Macaca fascicularis: one gene and its partners. The protein of the gene in region 5 interacts with the protein of the main gene of each other region in a biochemical or structural test. Links are inferred from orthologs where the notes say so. Each region holds a gene or a part of one and is shown on either strand. Other genes may lie near its edges. The genes, in order: MEX3C, SLC25A3, RPL22L1, SSR4 and PTEN.

What was found.
Region 1: of the proteins of PTEN (region 5) and MEX3C, one has a biochemical effect on the other in vitro, tested with the Homo sapiens proteins (2 studies listed by BioGRID). The link is inferred for Macaca fascicularis from reciprocal best matches to the Homo sapiens genes PTEN and MEX3C.
Region 2: the proteins of PTEN (region 5) and SLC25A3 form a complex in vitro, tested with the Homo sapiens proteins (2 studies listed by BioGRID). The link is inferred for Macaca fascicularis from reciprocal best matches to the Homo sapiens genes PTEN and SLC25A3.
Region 3: the proteins of PTEN (region 5) and RPL22L1 form a complex in vitro, tested with the Homo sapiens proteins (2 studies listed by BioGRID). The link is inferred for Macaca fascicularis from reciprocal best matches to the Homo sapiens genes PTEN and RPL22L1.
Region 4: the proteins of PTEN (region 5) and SSR4 form a complex in vitro, tested with the Homo sapiens proteins (2 studies listed by BioGRID). The link is inferred for Macaca fascicularis from reciprocal best matches to the Homo sapiens genes PTEN and SSR4.

Annotation. Positions count from the first base shown.
Region 1 is NC_088392.1:38,531,617-38,535,857, forward strand, and holds the start of MEX3C (RNA-binding E3 ubiquitin-protein ligase MEX3C), read left to right. Parts: upstream 1-1,434; 5' UTR 1,435-1,803; coding exon 1,804-2,557; intron 2,558-2,704; exon of another isoform or gene 2,705-4,241. UniProt on the Homo sapiens protein: E3 ubiquitin ligase responsible for the post-transcriptional regulation of common HLA-A allotypes. Binds to the 3' UTR of HLA-A2 mRNA, and regulates its levels by promoting mRNA decay.
Region 2 is NC_088385.1:105,587,732-105,591,916, reverse strand, and holds the start of SLC25A3 (solute carrier family 25 member 3), read right to left. Parts: upstream 2,806-4,185; 5' UTR 2,754-2,805; exon of another isoform or gene 2,710-2,753; intron 2,477-2,709; exon of another isoform or gene 2,473-2,476; coding exon 2,316-2,472; intron 1,011-2,315; coding exon 886-1,010; exon of another isoform or gene 742-885; coding exon of another isoform or gene 592-741; intron 1-591. UniProt on the Homo sapiens protein: Inorganic ion transporter that transports phosphate or copper ions across the mitochondrial inner membrane into the matrix compartment. Mediates proton-coupled symport of phosphate ions necessary for mitochondrial oxidative phosphorylation of ADP to ATP.
Region 3 is NC_088376.1:82,351,045-82,355,025, reverse strand, and holds the start of RPL22L1 (ribosomal protein eL22-like), read left to right. Parts: upstream 1-1,179; 5' UTR 1,180-1,207; coding exon 1,208-1,216; intron 1,217-2,981; coding exon 2,982-3,074; intron 3,075-3,237; coding exon 3,238-3,359; intron 3,360-3,981.
Region 4 is NC_088395.1:159,854,314-159,858,525, reverse strand, and holds the start of SSR4 (translocon-associated protein subunit delta), read right to left. Parts: upstream 2,811-4,212; 5' UTR 2,780-2,810; coding exon 2,713-2,779; exon of another isoform or gene 1,721-2,712; intron 1,595-1,720; exon of another isoform or gene 1,097-1,594; coding exon 978-1,096; intron 14-977; coding exon 1-13. Other genes in the region: IDH3G (isocitrate dehydrogenase [NAD] subunit gamma, mitochondrial), read left to right, coding at 3,142-3,222. UniProt on the Homo sapiens protein: TRAP proteins are part of a complex whose function is to bind calcium to the ER membrane and thereby regulate the retention of ER resident proteins.
Region 5 is NC_088383.1:96,801,838-96,805,348, reverse strand, and holds part of PTEN (phosphatidylinositol 3,4,5-trisphosphate 3-phosphatase and dual-specificity protein phosphatase PTEN), read right to left. Parts: intron 2,973-3,511; coding exon 2,929-2,972; intron 1,022-2,928; coding exon 783-1,021; intron 1-782. UniProt on the Homo sapiens protein: Dual-specificity protein phosphatase, dephosphorylating tyrosine-, serine- and threonine-phosphorylated proteins.

The DNA of each region.
Region 1 (4,241 bases), on a different chromosome or scaffold from region 5:
GGAGATCACCTGAGCAATACTGTGGGAAGAGTGTCTAGGGAGGAGGAAACGGGGATTCATTTCTTTAAAAGCACCAGAGAGCTGGACAAGGTGGTTCACGCCTCTAATGCCAGCACTGTGGGAGGGCGAGGCGGGCGGATCACTTGAAGTCAGAGTTCGAGACCAGCCTGGCCAACATGGTGAAACTCCGTCTCTACTAAAAATACAAAAATTACCTGGGCGTGGTGGCACGTGCCTGTAATCCCAGCTACTGGGGAGGCTGAGACAGGAAAAACTTTTTTTTTGAGACGGAGTCTCGTTCTGTAGCCCAGGCTGGAGTGCAGTGGCGTGATCTTGGCTCACTGCAGCCTCCACCTCCCGGGTTCAAGCGATTCTCCTGCCTCTGCCTCCCGAGTAGTTGGGATTACAGGGGTGCGCCACCACGCCCGGCTAATTTTTGTATTTTTAGAAGAGACGGGGTTTCACCATGTTGATCAGACTGGTCTCGGACTCCTGACCTGACCTCGTGATCCGCCCGCCTCAGCCTCCCAAAGTGCTGGGATTACAGGCGTGAGCCACCGCGCCCTGTAAAGCTCTTGAGCCCGGGAGGCGAGGTTGCGTTGAGCCAAGATCGTGCCACTACACTCCAGCCAGGGCGACGGAGCTAGACTCCGTTTCAAAAAGAAAAAAAAAAAGGCCCCAAAGAGCTAAAGTTCAGCACCTGCAGGCTGCTGATGTAACCACCCTGCCGGCAGAAAAGCCGGGCCAACGGGGCGTTGGGAGCGTCAGGCCACGAGGGAGGAGCATTCCCGGGTCCGAGAGGGAAGGCCCGGGAGCCACGCGGCTCAGGAAACCGCCCCCGCGAGGGGATAGGAGGATATTGCGTGGCCCCTCCTTCCATGACTCTTCTTAAGGCCCTTCCTCTGAAGGGGGCGATCTCATCCTCAACCCGAGGAAACAATGCCCTCGAACCTGCGCCTGCAGCTCTGCTCCAGGCCGCTCACACAGTGCCTTCCCTGAAAGAACTCAGCCAGACCGGCTACAGGGATAAAGGGTTGGGGGGAAACAAATCCAGGTGTGCGCTTCGACCGCAGGCGCCTGCGCCAAAACCCCGCTTGGCCCTTAGTTTCAGCCTCTGCAGCAGCGCCTTCATCCGCCTCCTTTTTCCCGCCCCCGCCGGAGACGTCACAAAGAGTGACGTGTAAAGTGAACAATCACAGTCCCTCTCCGCGCGTGCCGGGAGGAATGGAGAGGGAGGTGGGCGGGGAGAGGACGGAAGGAGTGGGCTTCGGGAGCTGGCTGGTCCCGGTCACCCAATCAGAGAGCTCTGGGGAGGGGAGGGGCGGGGCCCGAAGGAGGGTGGGGGGTGGGGCTGGGGAAAGGAGTTGGAAGGCTGCGGGAGGAGAAGGCGGGCTCCCAGAGATTAAAAACACCCAATCAGAGCGCGCCGGCTTCATTCGGAGAGCGGCGTGGGGCGTCGCCGCCGCCGCCGCGCGCGCCGGGGGCTGGTTAAGGCCATGAAACAAAAGAAACCCTGAGAGGGAGCCGCTGCCACCTCCACCAGCCCGCCCCGCCGCCGTCCCCACCCACCCACCTAGTTACCTACCTTTGCCTCCTTCCCCTGCCCCTCCACCCCGCCCTCTCCGGTCTCCGGGCGGCCCTGGCGCTCCACGGCCCGGGTCCCCAGCCCCACCGCCTCCCCAGAGGAAAGGTGTTTGCGCGCTGAGCAGGGCCCTGGCCCTGTCCGCCATGGGGCTCGCCGCCTGCTGCGCCTGACCCGGCCGCCGCCGCCGCCGCCGCCGCCATTGACAGCGCGCCGCCGCGATGCCGAGCGGCAGCTCCGCGGCCCTGGCCCTGGCGGCGGCCCCGGCGCCCCTGCCGCAGCCGCCCCCGCCGCCGCCGCCGCCGCCGCCGCCTCTGCCGCCGCCCTCGGGCGGCCCGGAGCTCGAGGGGGACGGGCTCCTGCTGAGGGAGCGCCTGGCCGCGCTAGGCCTCGACGACCCCAGCCCGGCGGATCCCGGTGCTCCGGCGCTTCGAGCCGTGGCGGCGGCGGCGCAGGGCCAGGCCCGGCGGGCGGCGGGGCTGTCTCCAGAGGAGCGGGCTCCGCCTGGCCGGCCCGGGGCCCCGGAGGCGGCCGAGCTGGAGCTGGAAGAGGACGAGGAGGAGGGGGAGGAAGCAGAGCTGGACGGAGACCTGCTGGAGGAGGAGGAGCTGGAGGAAGCAGAGGAGGAAGACCGGTCGTCGCTGTTGCTGCTGTCGCCGCCCGCGGCCACCGCCTCTCAGACCCAGCCGATCCCAGGCGGGTCCCTGGGGTCTGTGTTGCTGCCCGCCGCCGGCTTCGATGCCCGGGAGGCGGCGGCCGCGGCGGCGGCGGCGGGGGTGCTGTACGGAGGGGACGATGCCCAGGGCATGATGGCGGCGATGCTGTCCCATGCCTACGGCCCCGGCGGCTGTGGGGCGGCGGCGGCCGCCCTGAACGGGGAGCAGGCGGCCCTGCTCCGGAGAAAGAGCGTCAACACCACCGAGTGCGTCCCGGTGCCCAGCTCCGAGCACGTCGCCGAGATCGTCGGCCGCCAGGGTGAGTGCAGGGGTGGGGAGGTCCAGCTGGGCATGGCCCCGGGCGTGGGTGGGGAGACGAGAGAAATGAGCATGGGACGGAAAGGGCGAACCCGGCGAGGCCCCCAGATCCACCCCGAAGGGGTCTGGGAGGAGCCGAGGGTCGACCAGATGTGAAGATGGGTCACCTTGCGAAAACCCACGCTTTTTCGCTCGTCTCGCCTGGTAAAAAGTGTGAAGTTTTTCGGGCGACCCAGTCCGGTGGTGTTCACGTTACTTGGGCTGTATTCGTGGAACACCAGGCTGGCGTGGCACCAGAAACCTCAGTGAGGTGGTAAAAGGTCGGGCTCGAGGAGTTGTGGGTTCGCTCTTGGGTACGGAAACCTTCGAGATTGCAAGTTTGCGCCGCCGAGTGTCTTCTTTTTAAAGCGTTCAGCCTCCCTTACAAGAACTTGTTCAGATGGAGAAAAGGACAGAAATGGAGGCCTGTAGACAGAGCTCACTGGGGAGGGAAGGGATGTTCAAATGGTCGGTATCACCGCCATCCCCTGCCTCTCCGCTGTTCAGAAACAGCTTTGGAAAAGCAGCCCAACTCACTGCCGCCGATCTTACTGTATTCCTCTCGATACGTTTCAAGTCTTGGAAAGACACACTGACACACTGGCTGTCTTTTGAAACTGTTCGGTGTGCAGGATGAAGAAAAATTGGACACTAAGGTAATTAAGAAACTTCTGTGTTTATACAGTTTTCAGTTAATTCTCCTCTTCACTTGTCAGCACACCAGTACTGCAGACAGACTCCTCCCACATTGTTCAGACAAAGGACCTATGTCTCAGATTCCAGGAGTAGATTTGTGAAGGTGGGGGAAGGAGATGCTTGGGGTACCTCTGTATCCGACATTTTTAGGGAAGGTCCTAAGTTCTTTATGGGAGCTTTTTCCCTTTATGAAAGGGGCAGATGTTACCTGCTGCCACCGCATGACAATATGGTTTAGCCTGGTTGATGCATGCCTCTTTACTGTTAGGTTGAGAGCATTGTTGGGGTCAAATAAAGCGAGATGATGGCGCTGCTGCTTAAATGATCTCATCTTTCCCAAGTGGTCTAAAGTACACATAAATAAGAGGTCTGTCGAAATGGTGGTTTCACATATCAGAGTTGGCTCATTTCTTTCCTATCTGTAGGATTTTAATAAAAACTCATATGAAATCTGGATAAAGGAGATAGCTTATTTCAGACTGCCTGATGATTGGCACTTACCAACACTGTTCAAAGCTGGACCTTTCAATTGAGAGGTAGCTTATGTGTGTTGTTCTTCTGGTTAATGAGTTTCAAATACCTGGTTTGTTTGGTTTTGACGATACTTAGAGTACTAATCCAGGATAAAACTTTTATTTACATGGGATAAAATTACAACATCTCAATTTGCATCAGAATGAGTTGACCATTCATGTGAGAACACTGAGGAATCGCCATGTACCAAGCATGTATTTTGCCAGGTGTTGAGTTTGTGGTATTGAGTTGAGAGTGTGAAGTTAATTCAGACTTTCTGCCCTTAAGAAGATAACAGTCTAATAAACAGTAGAATGGCACTAACTATATTATATTTAGTGTGACAGAGTATCAGATAGGAGAACATCTACCGTGGAGGGCCTTGGAAAATGGGTAGGAAGGAGTTTAACAAATGGAGATTGAAAAACTGTGGAAGA
Region 2 (4,185 bases), on a different chromosome or scaffold from region 5:
CATTTCTCTTTTAGGTAAATAGACTTCTAATCCTGTTTGGAACAAATAAATTTTTGATGTCTTGTTTTTGTTTCAATAATCTTAATTAAAAGATATTGAAATTATTTTAAAATGTTATGTAAATATACAAAAGGCTAATCTGACAAAATTTTCATACTAAGGCATTAGAGCATTTTAAATAAATCTACATGTGCTCTTTGCCTTGGTCTTATTAGTAGATAAAGGACATCGTTACCTCACATAATACACAGACTTGTTTACCCACTCCAACACACAGGTGCTTATAAAACGACTATTTGGGGCACAAGTAAGCTTGAAGAACTCTGGCCAGAAAGTGAAGAGCAGCAGCAAAGAGCCATCTACAGCCAGAGTCTAAGAGTGAATAATTTACTCCAACAATAGAGGCATTTATTGGATTTAAAACACTAGTTAAAATAAAGCCCACGATTTAAAGAAATTTTAGTTTGGTTTCCTACTGAAGTTTCTAGCAGTTGTGATGTCTTCAAATTCTCATTTGGGAAGCGCTTTAAGATTTTATTTAAAGTTAAGTCACATGAAAGATACTTTCAATGTTGTCATCTCAATACAAACCTGCATACGGCATTTCACTAAATCCAGGGGAACGACAGCAGTGTGTGTCAGACCACAACTTAAGACCCCACCAAAGCCACACAGTGCATAATACTTCGCGGAGCCAAATTCACAACTGTACTCTGTAGTAAGAGAAGACACACCATGCATTTTAATATAAAACTCATGTTACTGGTCATAAACTTACCTCCTGGACAGTTAGGTTTCCACACAGCTTGTTAGTAGATGACTATATCTTATAACTTAACAGTCAGTCATGCTTCAATATGCTCTAGTCCAGCATGCAAAACAAACCTGCATTCTGCATTTAACCAGATCTAGAGGAACCAATGCTGTATGTGTTGTGCCACAGCTAATAATTCCTCCAAGTCCACAAAGGATAAAGAATCTGCCAGATCCATAGTCACAGCTATACTGCTCTGTTTGATTGGAAAAAAAAAAAAAAATGAAGTAAGTATTTCTTCAGAGATGACTAAGGCCACTGGAATGAAAGAAAACTGTTTCCCTGTTAAAATAGTATTATCACAGCTGAATAGCTTTGGCCAATTAAGTGGCTTAAAAAAAAATTCACTGCCAAAATCAGATCATTTAAAAATTATGAGGGTTCTGTATCTGATACTATTAACAGCTTGGATTCTGCCATATTCATTTTTTAAAAAGTTTTCTACATTAACGGCTTTTACAATTAAAGTCAAACTTCAAATTATTAACCACTGGTAAGAGCACACTTCAGAGTACAAATGAAACTCAGAAAGATCACCCGACGTGTAAAAGGCTTGCAAACAACTTCAAAGTTTATCCTAGCCACTAACCAATACTATCCCCACTTATGAACTCCTATAACATAAAAACAGATACACATAAATTCCTGCAGTCATATACATTTAATACACAAATAATGTTAGCTTTAATTTTAAACTGAATGACAGATAGTGTAAGTAAGGATTCTTTATCCATACTAAAGACATAACAGAAGCACATGAGTGATTTAAAGAAAAAAATCTTTCGATTTTACAGGCATAAGGTAGATAACATTCTCAGGACTCCTACAATTCGATTTTCAGGTTTCTCTGTATGTACACACTTCACTAGGATTTAAAACACACACAACCAAGTTAAAGCTGGGCCCAACCACAAAGAATCGCAAGAGATAATCACACCAAAGGGATGCCCACCAATTATCTCCTTTTTATTGCCTATGTAGTGCTGCAAGCTGCCTCCTCCAGTCGCATGAAAACAGGAGATCCAGTTATCTCATATATAATTAAGTGCTAAAATGACGGACCTGGCGTCGACGAATATAAAACTTAGGAAAGGACTGTTCAAGAAAACTAAGGGCAAATCAAAGGACAGGTGATACAGTTAGTAGAACTGTGGGTGGTCAGTAGTTTGGGGAAGAGACTTTACCCAATACTTAGTTGGCTGACCAAGCGGGCTCACGGCAGAGAAGATAAGGAGCTAGTCGCGGCCTTTTTTCCCTCGGGGACATGGAGGTCACGAAGGGACACAGGGCCTCAGCCCTTCCACGCCCTTGAGGGAGGGCCAAGGATCTGACACCCGCCTAGGGTGGAAAAAGACGATATCCCAGGGCAAGCAACTGGGCGCCGTCCTACGGTGCAGCGGGCTGGACTCGTCCTTCCCTGTCCTCCAAGCCGGGTCCAGGCCTCAAACGCTGGGCAGACCACGAATAGACCACGACTGTATCAGGCAAGGTCTGATCTCACCTTCCACGGCGGCGGCTGCCAGGTTGCGAGGGCGGCGGGGCTGGCCAGTGGGCCCGGGTGGGTTGCTGCGGAGGTCCCCGAGGCCATCGTGCAGCAACTGCAGATGTGGCGTGTTGAAGGGGTTCGCCCGCGCCAGGTGCGCCACGGACGAGAACATCTTTCTAGGGGAAGAGGGAGCGGCGGTGAGATGGCAGGCAAGGCGCCGGTTAATGTTACCGGCGCCCTGGAACCCCAACCGGGCCTTTTCCTTCCCGCCTGCGCGCCCTTGAAGAGGTCACGGCGGCCTTCGAAGGAGGCTGCTCCCGGCTGGGCCCACCGCCAAAGCAGCGGCCCCACAGGGTCTCTGGGCTCCGCTCCCCACACCCGCCACAGGGGAAGGCCCGGTCACACTCACTCCCTAAGATGGCGATCACCCAACCACTCCCTTGGAAAGGTTACCGCTCACAGAGGCCGAACGTCCTCCCAGCCCTAAGATGTGTGCCCTTCGCGCGTCGTCGGCGTGACGCACACAGCGCGTCACTGCAAGCATGCGTCGCCCATTGGTGGAGAAGAGCTCCGAGCCCGTAGCGTCATCGCGTTCTCCTAGCAACCTTATCCCCGCCCCTGCCCACTCCTGCTCTTCCGGCCCGGCGTGTGCGCAGGAGGATTCGTTCTGCGCAGACGCGCGTTCCGGCTGTATATTTTTTGAGAGGGGTCGGGTTCGGGATATTAACCTGCTCGCTTTGTCCCTTCACCTTCAGGTGTCTCTTCTTGACCACAGGCTTCAGTTCGCTTCACTTAAGTGAATCACAGTATCTAGTAGTCACTTAAAAAACAAAACATGAATGCTTGATGATATATTTAGGTGTTGGAGTTAGAGAACATCACTGCAGTATTATGTGTCACAACTTCTGCCATTACAGTACTTTTTAAAATAAGTTCCATCCATTGACATTAAATATAGGTATGTCTGCATTTTTCATCAGACTTCTGGAGAATATTTTAAAAAAGAAATGTGCAGCAAGAAGTCTTACGACAGCTTGCCGCGTTATCACAATAATCTATAGAACACGTTGAAACATTGAACACCTGAGGTGTTACAGCGATGAACTAGTGAAAGTGACTGATAGCAGATTGTGCGTGTGTCTGGTTAAAACATTTAGGAAGCTTTCATTAGATTCAGCTCAACAGGGAGGGGCGTAGTTTAGTTGGGGAGAGTTTAATAGGGATTCAACCTGTTAGACTTCTGGCTCTTATATTTTCCCAGCTCTTGACAAAGTAACCTTGGGAATTTACTTCATCTCTGTGAACCTGTTCCTTAGATGTAAGATTGGGGTGGGACTGGCCTCACAGGTTCACACTGGTACAATCACACATGGCCTTACACTTAGTTTAATGCTCTGCTGATTTTGAAATTTTTCTTTTCTTTTTGTTTTTTTTTTGAGACGGAGTTTCACTCTGTCACCCAGGCTGAAGTGCAGTGACGTGATCTCGGCTCACTGCAAGCTCTGCCTCCCAGGTTCACCCTATTCTCCTGCCTCGGCCTCTGGAGTAGCTGGGACTACAGGCGTGCACGACCACGCTTGGCTAATTTTTGTATTTTTTGCAGAGACGGGATTTCATCATGTTGGCTAGTCTGGTCTCGAACTCCTGACCTCAGGTGATCCACCCACCTCGGCCTCCCAATGTGCTGGGATTACAGGCCTGAGCCACCATGCCTGGCTTGAAATTCTTAATATATGTATGAACAAGGGGCCACACATTTTTTAGTTTGCACCGGACCCTGAAAATTAGGTGGCTGGTTCTGGACTGGAGTAATACTTACCTTGCAAAGTCTATGAGAACTCAATGAGATAATGTCTAAAAGTCTACAGAAGATGTTCCCTAAAAA
Region 3 (3,981 bases), on a different chromosome or scaffold from region 5:
CCATGAACAGTTCTTACTTTCTGGGGGTCATTCTTCAAATTAACAACAAAGTCCACCCCATCCCATACCCCTACCCCTAGGTATGATAATTTCATCTCCACGAAAACGTATTACTGCTAAACTCAAGGGGTTTAGCATGCCACCCTTCTAATCTGATGTCAATTTACAATCCTTCAAAGCTCAAAAGCTACTTTTTCCTTTTGTCAGCAAGACACTTCCACCTTCGTATGTCTTGTACATACTGATAGGTCACAGCAAACATTCATTGAATTTTAACTGGGGAGCATTTTGGATGGAAATCAAGAGACCTGGGATTAACTCTAAAACCCATGATAAATTATACCAAACGAATGAACAGGAAGCAAGCACTACGTGTTTTTCTCTTTAAGACAGAGTCACGCAGGCTGGAGTGCAGTGGCAGATCTCGACTCATTGCAACTTCCTCCCCCCAAGTTTAGCAATGTTCCTGCCTCAGGCTCCCGAGTGGCTGGGAATACAGAAGCGCACCACCACCCGGGCTAATTTTTTTTAAATTGTTTGTAGAGACGGATTCTCCCTATGCCTATGCTGCCAAGGGTGGTCAGGAACTCCTGGGCTCAAGAGATCCTCCGGTCTCGGCCTCCCAAAGTGCTGGGATTACCGGTGTGGGCCACCACGCCCATATATATATATAAATGCTTTTTTTTCCGAGGACCTGGTCCCCGAAGAACCGATTTCCCTCAACAGTCATTTAGAAAACGAGGACCACAGACAAAACACAAATAGAAATAACTTTTTGGCTGGAGGAGTATAACTGCAATAAAAGAGGAGATCCCAAAGCAACCTGAGACACTGTCTTGCCCTGATTGGAAAGGGGATTCCGGTGATTAGTGAAAGATGACCCCTGCATCCCTCGCGTGCGTCCGTATCCGGGAGCAGCCACTTGGTAACTGTAGGGACCACTGCGATCAATCAGCTTGTACAGCCAGGAGCAGAAACCCGGGAGTCAGTTCAACCACCGCCACCCGCGTGCGCCCGCGGAAAGCCGATTCCGTACTGGCGTCCGGCCGCGCACTGGTTTCCTAGGTTACCGGCCTCCGCGCTCCTCCTGCTTTCTTTTCCTGGAGGCGACAATCTGACGTTCTCAGCGCGTGACGCAGCACGCTTTGGTATAAATACAGACCGCTCGGTCGTAGGTTTCTCTCTGCTCGCGCGGCCGATTCGCAAAATGGCGCCTGTGAGTGAGCGATGTCTTGGTGGGAGTGTTGTGCGGCAATTTAATGATTTTTGCTGTAACGAATTTTGCATCTGTCGAGTGGGGACGTCTCAGTCGAGATAAAGGGAGGGGAGTAGTGGAGGCTGGGTCAGAAACACAACCAAAACGCGAGGATCCTGAATTGTTTTTCGAGACTCCTGGCATCTGCCATGCGGTCTAGTGGAGTTGGAGCTGGGCTCGGAAATGGTTTAGAATGGGTGGTTTTGGACACGTGGGAAAGAGGGAGGCACAGCTGTAAATTGGCCGGTGGTACTGCAATCTGAGCCATTTATTTACTGCCTTGCGCCTGATAATGCTTTTGCCACTCTGGACTGGGTAGGAGAAAGGTGAGTAATCCGGCCGGTCTGACGACCTGTGCCCCAGGCCAGAGGGAACTCCGAGGCGCTCAGCTCCCGCGATGGCCGACATCACGGAAGTTTCTGAGAACTTTCAGTTGGGGAAGAAGCTCCTCTGTGAAGTAATTTTTAGAAAAGTAAAAGCCTAGATTCCGGCAATGTGAAATGAACATGCTTCAGATATTGTACTTAAGTCATTAGTAAGGGAACCAGTAAGATGTTAAAATGTTCCTAAGAATATCTGAAAAGCTAGGTATATATGCGTAATTTACAGAAAAAATTAGGATAAAATTGCTGGGCTAGCTACAAAACTGCGTAATGCCCAGCATGGCCATAAACCCTACAGGGTTATCTGTTCCATTAGACAGAAATTGTTTGTGTCTCCCAAATTAACTTCTGCGCCAACTGAGTGATTTTCTTTTGGTACATGTTACCGTGCTACCTGAGAAAGCAAACTAAGGTGTAATACTTGGTAGCCATTTGGGTGGATCTAAATTGGAGGTTATCATCTGATAAATACTGATTTGTTTATATTCCAGTGAATGTACATGGTTACTGGCTACCGCAACATTTTGCTTATGTAGCCATATAATATGGTCTTGGTATAAAAGGTTTGGATATGGAAAATTTAAGTTCCACGGTGTTGGCTTTTCTTTTTTTTGAGACAGAGTCTGTCCCCCAGTTCGGAGTACAGTGGCATGATCAGGCTCACTGCAACCTCCGCTTCCTGGGTTCAAGCAATCCTCCCGACTTAGCCTTCTGAATAGCTAGGATTACAAGCATGCATCACCACACCTGGCAAATTTTTGTATTTTTACTAGAGATGGGGTTTCACCATGTTGGCCAGGCTGGTCTCAAACTCCTGACCTCAAGTGATCCTCCTGCCTCAGCCTCCCAAAGTACTGGGGCCGCGCCTGGCCTTTATTTGGTTGTTTTTAAAAATTTTTTTTCTTTCTTTTTTTTTTTTTTTTTTTTTTTTTACCGAAGTCCTCTTCCCTTGCCTATAACAACGTAAGAATTGAATTTCCTAGACATAGATGGATGGAATCCTAGCTCTGGCACTTAACTGTGCTTGGGCTAGGAGGTTTACTAATCTATTTCCATCTGCAGTGGGGTGGCAGTAAAGCACGATAGTTTAAAATTGAACATCGGTGGTATGGAAAACAATGAAAGTCCATAACCTTTTGACAACTTGAACATATTAGGACTTGGTTAGAGGTTCACATCAATCCCGGGTCGGTGGGGTTTTTTAATTTTTATTTTTGTTACATTTCTGTATATGTAACCTCACAGTACATTGTACGGATTGCATTGGTACAAACTTTAAAATTGTTTATACCAATTGAATAAATTGTTTTATATAGCTACATAATTATTTCACATTTATGTAGCAGAAAGACAAGAAGCCCAAAAGGTCAACCTGGAAGTTTAATTTGGACCTCACTCATCCAGTAGAAGATGGAATTTTTGATTCTGGAAATTTTGTAAGTATCATTCTACTTGGCTCATTTTTATAATCCGAGTTATTTATAGTGGTTTAAATATGTAATATTTGATAATAACCTAAGCTCTATTCCTAGGGTACCTTCCCTAGTGAATATCTAGGGTTCTCTTCCCTAGTTGTGCATTTTTTCTGTTTTAAAATAGGAGCAATTTCTACGGGAGAAGGTTAAAGTCAATGGCAAAACTGGAAATCTCGGGAATGTTGTTCACATTGAACGCTTCAAGAATAAAATCACAGTTGTTTCTGAGAAACAGTTCTCTAAAAGGTTGGTACCTTTGCAAATTTTAATAAAATTATAGTAGTTTTTGGAATATTTCATAGAATATGTAATTATTACGCGTATTCTGTTTATATGCAAGAATAAATAAGAGCTTACTAAAGGCCTACATAAATGGGAAATTCAGTAAATGAGTGCCAGTTGCTGATTCTAGTTGTAAGTGTAATTTATTGCTAGAATATAGGGCAGTTGTGTCCATGGTCCCGATCCCGTAAATTACAGGCCCTGTAAATCCAAGTTGTATATAACCTTTAATGCTGAGTACTTTAGTATTTGAGTGTGTTAAAAGAAACATGTCTAATGTGTACATACGAGGATTGTCTCAATGATACAAACCTTTTCTTACAATTTTTTAAGGTTTTAGTTATTTATTCAGGAGAGGTAGCTGATCAGAGGCAAAGTCTTAACATCTTGCTGCCAGTTTTTATTTGTTCAATTTATTCACCATATATTAAATACTTCATGGGCAGCATAGGACTGGGTAACTGAACAGCGAACCAAGCAGGCGGTTTAACCACCACCAAGAAACTTCTAGTGGAGAAGGGAGAGAGTGAAATGGAATTAATCAAGCAGTGATAAGTGCTGTAAGGGCATAAAGCTAGTTGCAAAG
Region 4 (4,212 bases), on a different chromosome or scaffold from region 5:
AGAGAGCCATGTTCTGGGTGAGGAGACAAAGGCAGGGTCACCTTCTGCCTTCTCTGGGTGTGGGCAGAGGAACCCTGTGTGCTGCTCACACGGCCTGCAGATGGGTAGGCTAGGCCCAGTTGGGGGCTGCAGTGTCCCTGGCAGGAGGTTCCAGGTAACACTCACCAATCCTGTGACTGGCCCTCTGCATCGGTCTTCCCTACGGAGGCACAGGGCTAGATCCCCATGGTCGGACCTAACTGGACGCATAGGAACCTTGTTGACTGTGAGCAGGGGCGGGATGATCAAAAGGGCCGAGTGATTTTCCTGAGTCTACAAGGGAGGTGCTGGGGTCCGGGATGCCCAGTGGGCTGCCCAAGGGGTGCTTTACCCTAAGAGAGCCATACCCAAAAAAAAGGCCCCATTTCCTTCTTTGGACTTTTGGGAACGTAGGTCAGGGGCCAAGGCCAAGGCTCCTCAATCTTGAAGTTAAAACACCCGAAATCCTGTCTCTACCAAAAAATACAAAACTTAGCTGGGCATGGTGGTAAGCGCCTGTCATCCCAGCTACTCGGGAGACTGAGGGGAGAATCTCTTGAACCCGGGAGGCGGAGGCTGCAATGAGCCAAGATCGTGCCAATGCACTCCAGCCGGGGCAACAGAGTGAGACCCTGTCTCAAAACAAACAAAAAACAAAAACAAAGACAAAACACCCACACAGACAAACTGGCCAATGGCAACGAGGGTGGGCTGCCCTTTCTCCCGGTTCAGATACTCATTCGGGACACAGGTTGTGAGCCCAGTGTTACCTCGTGTAGGCACAGCACACAAAGCAGGTGAGGAAGGTGACCTGTCAACACTGGCTAGGATCTGGCATCGCCGTGCCCTGATCTCTCCAGCACCCCAAGAGTTGGAATCTCTGTTGACACGGGTCCCCCATCAACTGGCAGTGAGGAGCACCCCCACCCGCCCTCCTGTCTGAAACCCCACTGTCTCACCTGGACCCTGTTCTTGCATGTCAGGGAGATCTCCACAATAAAGACAGTCTCGGTGGAAATGACAGCGTCAGAAGTGGTGTAGTAGGAAGGGGTGATCTGGGGCTCCAGGCAGGCCTCAGCTGCAGGGAAGAGGGAGAGATGCTTGGGTAAGGCCAGCTCGAGTATCCCAGTCTGAGGGCAGGATGGCCGGGCCCTGCCTCACAGCACGGATCAGCTGAGGACGCACGGGATCCTCCTGTCCCTTCCAGGTGGGATCCAGACAGATCCAAGTGCTCGGTCACAAATGCAGTGGCAAGGTAGGTGGGATGGCTGTGAAAGCAGACTGGAGAGGGGCAAGGCCGGCTTTCTGGAGGTGTGCAGGAAGAGCGAACGCGTGTGCTGGGGACAGGTGGGCGCTGGATTCACTGGACAATACATGCCAACGCTTGGACCTATGACACGGAGGCCAGGGGGCCAGGCCAGCCTCCATTCAGAACCACAAACGGCCTGGACGGGTTACTGAAGGCATCCTCAGCAGAGACATCAGGGGTAGGGCTGCAGGCAGGCAATGCACTGCCCCAGCGTTTCCTGAGGAAGTCATCAGGAGAGGCTCTGCTTCCAGAAGCACAACTTGTCAGCTGTGAGAGAAAGGACTCTGCCTTAGCCTTCTCCATAACCACAGAGGCCCACAGGAAAGACAGGCTGCCGCCTACATCAGAGGGTGTGAAACAAAGGCTCCCCAAAATGGGAACGTTCTCAGTCACCAGCTGTCCAAATGTGATGCTCCGGCAGAATGACGGCTTCAGCAGAGGACGTCAGAGAAGGCTCTGGGTCCGGACCAGAGGAGGCAGATCCGTAGGAACAGCATGGAGGCCGCTCTCAGGGGCCAGATCCTACCAGCCTTTCTGTGTCCTGCCTAAGTTGGGCCTGCTTCCTGTGGCGCAGGGGAGCCCCCGAAAGGGTTTTATGGCCAGGCTTGTCCTCTGGATAAGTCCCTGGCTATAACTCAGGGAATTCCTGAGGGGCAGACAAGAGGGTGCGGGCAGGGAGGCCAGTTAAGCTGGCAAAACGTTGCAGGCAGCAAGGCTACTGGCCTGAAGGACGGCAGAAAAGGGAATGTGCAGAAAGCCACCCCTGTCCAGTCCTGGCCCCCGGGCCCGGGACTGGCTGCTGCAGCCACCTCCTAAACACACTCTGGAGCCTCAGACCCTCATGAACGCAAATCGACGGGACCCCTGGTAGGCTCTGCCGAAAACTCTGGTAAGGGTAAGGCAGGGCCCTCCGGAAAGGCCAGTCTTCGGCCTGGCACTCAAGGTCCTGCGCACCTCTGGCTCCCCATCTAACTCGCCCCGTTCTTGCTCCCTCTCCTCACTGAGGTCCCTTCCTAGCTTATGTGGTTCCTCCAGCCCCGTTTTTGACCGCGATCGCTCAGCACTACAGAGCTTCGTTCTGGTCCGACCCCGCGGGGAGCGGGAGCGGGGACATGTGTCACGTTCCGTGCTGGAGCTGGGGGCCGGGCGCACGGTGGAGGCTCCGGGACTCCTCTTCGTATGGGCAGACAAGGAAAAGCCTGGCTGCCGGTAAACGTGCCCGAGGTGCTTTGGTCCCCGCGTCCCAAGGCCGCCTGCCTCTCGGAGGAAGGCCCGGCTCTCAGCGACGGACCCCGAAAAGCCAGACCCCCGCATCCCTCCTCCCCTCAACACCACGTGGGGTGGGTCAGAGGCTCGCCAGAAAGAAGCCCCGACTGGGCCGCTACCTGAGCAGCGGGAGAGGCTGGACAGCAGGAGCAGCGCCAGGGCGCCGAGATATGCCATCGCCGCCATCGCCTCTTCTCTGCCTAGAGGAAAAGAAAACGAGCTCCCATGAACACGAGGGGCAAACGAGGAAGAGCGACGCGTAAGTGACAGCGGCAGCCAATCGTGCACCGAAGGGCCGGGCCGGCATTGTGACGTCTCTGGCAGCACTGACGTGGCCCCTCCCCGAGACAGGGGCCCAGCTGGTCGCGATCCCCCATCAACATGGCGGCAGCGGCGCTCTAGGCGCCGGAAGGGGGCGTGGGAATCGGTGAGACCGCGCGCGTGCGCAGTACCGGGCCCGCGCCGGTCCCCGAAACTTCGCACCCCGTGGAACTCTCGCGAGAGCGGTGTCTGCGTGACGGGACGTGCGGAGGCTCTCACTTTCCGTCATGGCGCTGAAGGTAGCGACGGTCGCCGGCGGCGCTGCGAAGGCAGTGCTCAGGCCAGCCCTTCTCTGCCGTCCCTGGGAGGTGAGCAGGGAAAGGGCCACGGGGCCGCGGCAGCGCTCGCAGGGGAGCGGTGGGGTAGCCGCTCCCGAAGCAGTCTGGAGTCCGATTGGCTAGGAGAGGGCTGCGCGCCGGGGTTGATTGGCCGCCTCCGCTGTCACTGAGGGGATTGGCCGAAGTTGGCCCTGGGCCGGCTCCCCCAGGGCGTCTGCATCGGGTGGCGGGGGGGGGGGTTCCGGACGGGCCGGGAGAGTGGGCCACGGCGGCTGTCACCTCCTTACTGTCCTTGAAAGAGCCCTTTGACGCAGTCACTCACGTATCCCGGCCCGCCTTTCTCAAACCGCTTCGGGAATCCGGTTCCGGGACTCAAATTTCTCCATGGGTTCCCGTCTCGTTGACCGCTTTGCCACTTGTCCCGGTGGCAAAGAACCGGACTTTGCCAGTCATACCCCATCCTCCCACAGTCTTAGAGCCCCAGATGCCTTCCCCCCGAGGCGCCTGGAATGGGAAGGAGCTAGGGTTTCTCAGGCTGCGGGGGTTTTGCTTCTGCTCTTCTTGGTCTGCGGTCTTGCGTATTCAGGTCTGAGTCCTTTTTCCTTACGCTTATTTAAGAAGAGGTTAATTTAGGTCCTAGGTGGGCTGGAAACCATCTGAAGCAGCTGGCCCTGATGGGTAAGAGGTTTGGCCTCTAGGCCATGCTCCCCCACTGACCCAGTGCGTGGCCTTAGGCCAGTTTCTCCTCTCTCTGGGTTACAGTTTCCCCTTTGGAACCCAGAGGGGAGACTTCATGTTTTCAAAGGATCCTGTCAACTCTGACCTTCCAGAACTCCGTGATTTTGTTGCCACTCACCAGGGACACCTCTACTTGCTGTTTTCTCTTTCTGGCCTCTGGGGGAGATGCTTGTGCCTAATGAAATTCTCTTGACAATGCCGACTTCTCCTACCTTGCTGCTGAAAGGACGGCAGCATATAGTGGCTTTCCAGAGGCTCTGATGGCTCTAGCAACTGGGCTCC
Region 5 (3,511 bases):
TTTTCAATATAGTCCTTAGTTTTCCGATCAAAGAATCAAGAATCTTCTATTAATCTAACTACATTTATGAATATTCTTATAAAAGAATAATTTTTATGTATTATAAAAGTTCACCCTTTACTAGGTAATGGTATTTTATCCAAAGCCATTCTATGCTCAAATAAGCTTCAGAAATATAAGCTTATTTTTGATAGCTTTTTAAAAATGTTATTTTAAAAGAATTTTATGAGACCAAATCTGCAATACAGTTAATGGGTAACATGTGCTAGTATGATATGAAAATGGTAGCATGAACAGAAAAATGAAATCAGTCATTTCTCATATAGAAATTGAGGCAGCAACTGATTTAAAAATTTAGAAGAAATAAGGATTAGCAACTATTTTTAAAACCTGTTTTCCAGGGACTGATGGTGGGGCGGGGAGGGACACAAGATGAACAAGATCTGAAGATCTACTGGACAGCACAGTGACTATAGTTAATAATAACATTGTATAACTGAAAATTGAAGCTTGTAGATGTTAAATGCTTTCACCTTGAAGGGAGAAGAATAATTATGTGAGGTGATGAATACGTTAAGTAGCTTGACTGTAGTGATCATTACACAATGTATATATACATACATCAAAAGATCATATTATACATTGTATTTATATATAATTTTTACTTGTCAATTACACCTCAATAAAACTGAAGGAAAAAAAAAAAAAACACCCAGTATCTGTTTTCCAATAAATTCTCAGATCTAGGAAGAGGAAAGGAAAAACATCAAAAAATAACTTACCTTTTTGTCTCTGGTCCTTACTTCCCCATAGAAATCTAGGGCCTCTTGTGCCTTTAAAAATTTGCCCCGATGTAATAAATATGCACAAATCATTACACCAGTTCGTCCCTTTCCAGCTTTACAGTGAATTGCTGCAACATGATTGTCATCTTCACTTAGCCATTGGTCAAGATCTTCACAAAAGGGTTTGATCAGTTCTAGCTGTGGTGGGTTATGGTCTTCAAAAGGATATTGTGCAACTGTGGTAAAAAGACAACCTCAGAATAAGAAAAAAAACTTCTGAATTTTTAATTACAAGTAGGTTAACTTTAGAAATGTTGCATACAAACTTAACAGGTATTTAAAAGAAACACTAGATTCCAGAGAAAAATAATGTATTGCTTAACTTTCTAATTTTTAAATAGAAAATAGTCTCTTGATAAGTCTCAAATATAATCATTAAGGAAGGCAAGTATTATTTTCCCCCATTTTATTCAGAAGGATATATTCTAGGAATTTACACTATATGGACTGACAGCATAGGTCACATATTAGAGGTACAGCTAAACCCAAAATGAAATGTCACATGGACATTTCATCAGGACTCTCAATGCAAAAGGAATACTATTTATAGTATTTATTTCATCATCACAAAACATATTCCAAAGACAGAATAGATTACTAATAAACTATAGAAAGAATTGCATATTACATTTCATAAAATAAAAATGCTAAGTGTGTTATTTAAAGGTGGTCTTGCAAATATTAGTGTTGTATACACATGTAAATCATTAGGGAAGCCAAGTACTATTTACCTCCATTTTCTGCAGGAGAATACATTCTGGGAATTTACGCTCAATGGACTGGTAGCATAGGTCACATACAGAGATATGTGAAGGCATACACCAAAGAAATTACTTACAAAATGTATATAATTGTTATCAAAGTTTCAGGTCTTCTCACATGAATTATAAGAGTCCAAGACTTCTCTGTTCACTATAGTCAGAGTTGAGGTTTTTAAAAAACCTTGTTTAGAAACAGGACTATAGATATATCACTATTAATTGTTCTTAATAGTTTCTACCTTAATTCCACTCTATTAAGATCCTTAAAAACTCTGATACTCAACGTACTATCCTGTGTTACCTAAATATGTGAGAAGTATGTCTTATATCTCCAATCAAGTCACTCATAATATGATACAGGATACAATCAATTATCCTTTGGTGTGACAGGACAGCTCTTCTGGTAGACAATGACTATCATTATAGGGAGTCCAGAAGGACAGCTTTCACTTAGTCATCTGCCTAACTCCATTTTCTCAGTGGTACACAAAAACCTCCAGGAAAACCTGTTAAATGTCTATTTAAAGCAACATAAACCTCAACTAAAGCCTGCTTTGCCTAGTAAGCAACAACCTAAATCCACCAAAAACAAAAACAAAACGTTCTTAGTGAATCTATACCAAATCTCAATCATGAGTGATTTAGAATTTTCAAACCATCTGTCTGAAAGTCCATTCTAGATTTTCAGGAGGGATCAATGGCAAATACATCAATAGTAGCTCATGGCACCCACTTTCTCTTTTTGACTATCACAGCGGCATCTGCCTAGCTTCTCAACTCTTCAGTTCTCTCATGGTTTAAAGTGTTAGGTCATAGAACTGAGCTGTATTTCACAAATAAAAGTGAAAGTTTTTGTGGGCTCTGAGAATTAACTTATGTCTGAAGTAGAACTCATTTAAAGCAATTCCCTCCTCTCATCCATCAGGTTTCTCTTATCAACATTTGTTATATCCTTTCCTACCTTTTATGTCATTCCTCAACACAGAAGAGTTAAGTAGTTCTGCTTTCTCCCTATAGTTGCTTACTATCAGACCTACTGCCTTAAACAGTAGGTAAACCCTCTCCTTATACTATTTTTAGTCTAGGAATTTTCCTAATTCTTAGTCTACTCTGCACTTTAGTCTTCCTGACAATATTAATAGCTTTATGCAATACTTTTTTCCTAAAAAACAGCAAAATTAAATTTTTTGAAAATTTTTAAGATACTTCTTAAGATAAATATGTATCTCACTCAATAATCTAGATGACTCATTATTATGACAGTTAAGATATAGTCTATCGGGTTTAAGTTATACAGCATAGTACAGTACATTCATACCTACCTCTGCAATTAAATTTGGCGGTGTCATAATGTCTTTCAGCACAACTAAAAGAAAAGTTTAAAAGTGATATATAGTTATCTTTTGCATTTAGGAAGAAAAAAAGTACTAATATTAACAAACATTGCCTGAATCTTTATAATGTGACACATATTATGCTGTTTAACATTAATTATTTCATGTAATAAGAATTCTATTACGTAGATACTATTATCACCCCCATATTATAATAATAAAACCAAAGCTTAAAAGATTAAGTGTATGCAATTAGAGCTAATAAATTTGCTTACAAAACTTGTGATGTCACTAATATAGAGTACTGCAAATTCAGGTGCTTCCATGCTTTCAAATTTCCTCTATGAAAAATTTGCATGCTATTGGAATTTTTTTTTTTTTTTTACAAGTACCTATAAACAACTGGCTAGTTTCAATAGTATTTGTATCTCATATTTAAGCATACATAATTCTCAAACTATTCTTCAAAAAGATATATGTTAAAAATAATAAAAGCATAAGGACAGTAAAGAAAAACTGAATGATGTTAATCTACTTGGACACAATGCTTACCAATTTTTTTTTTTCTTTT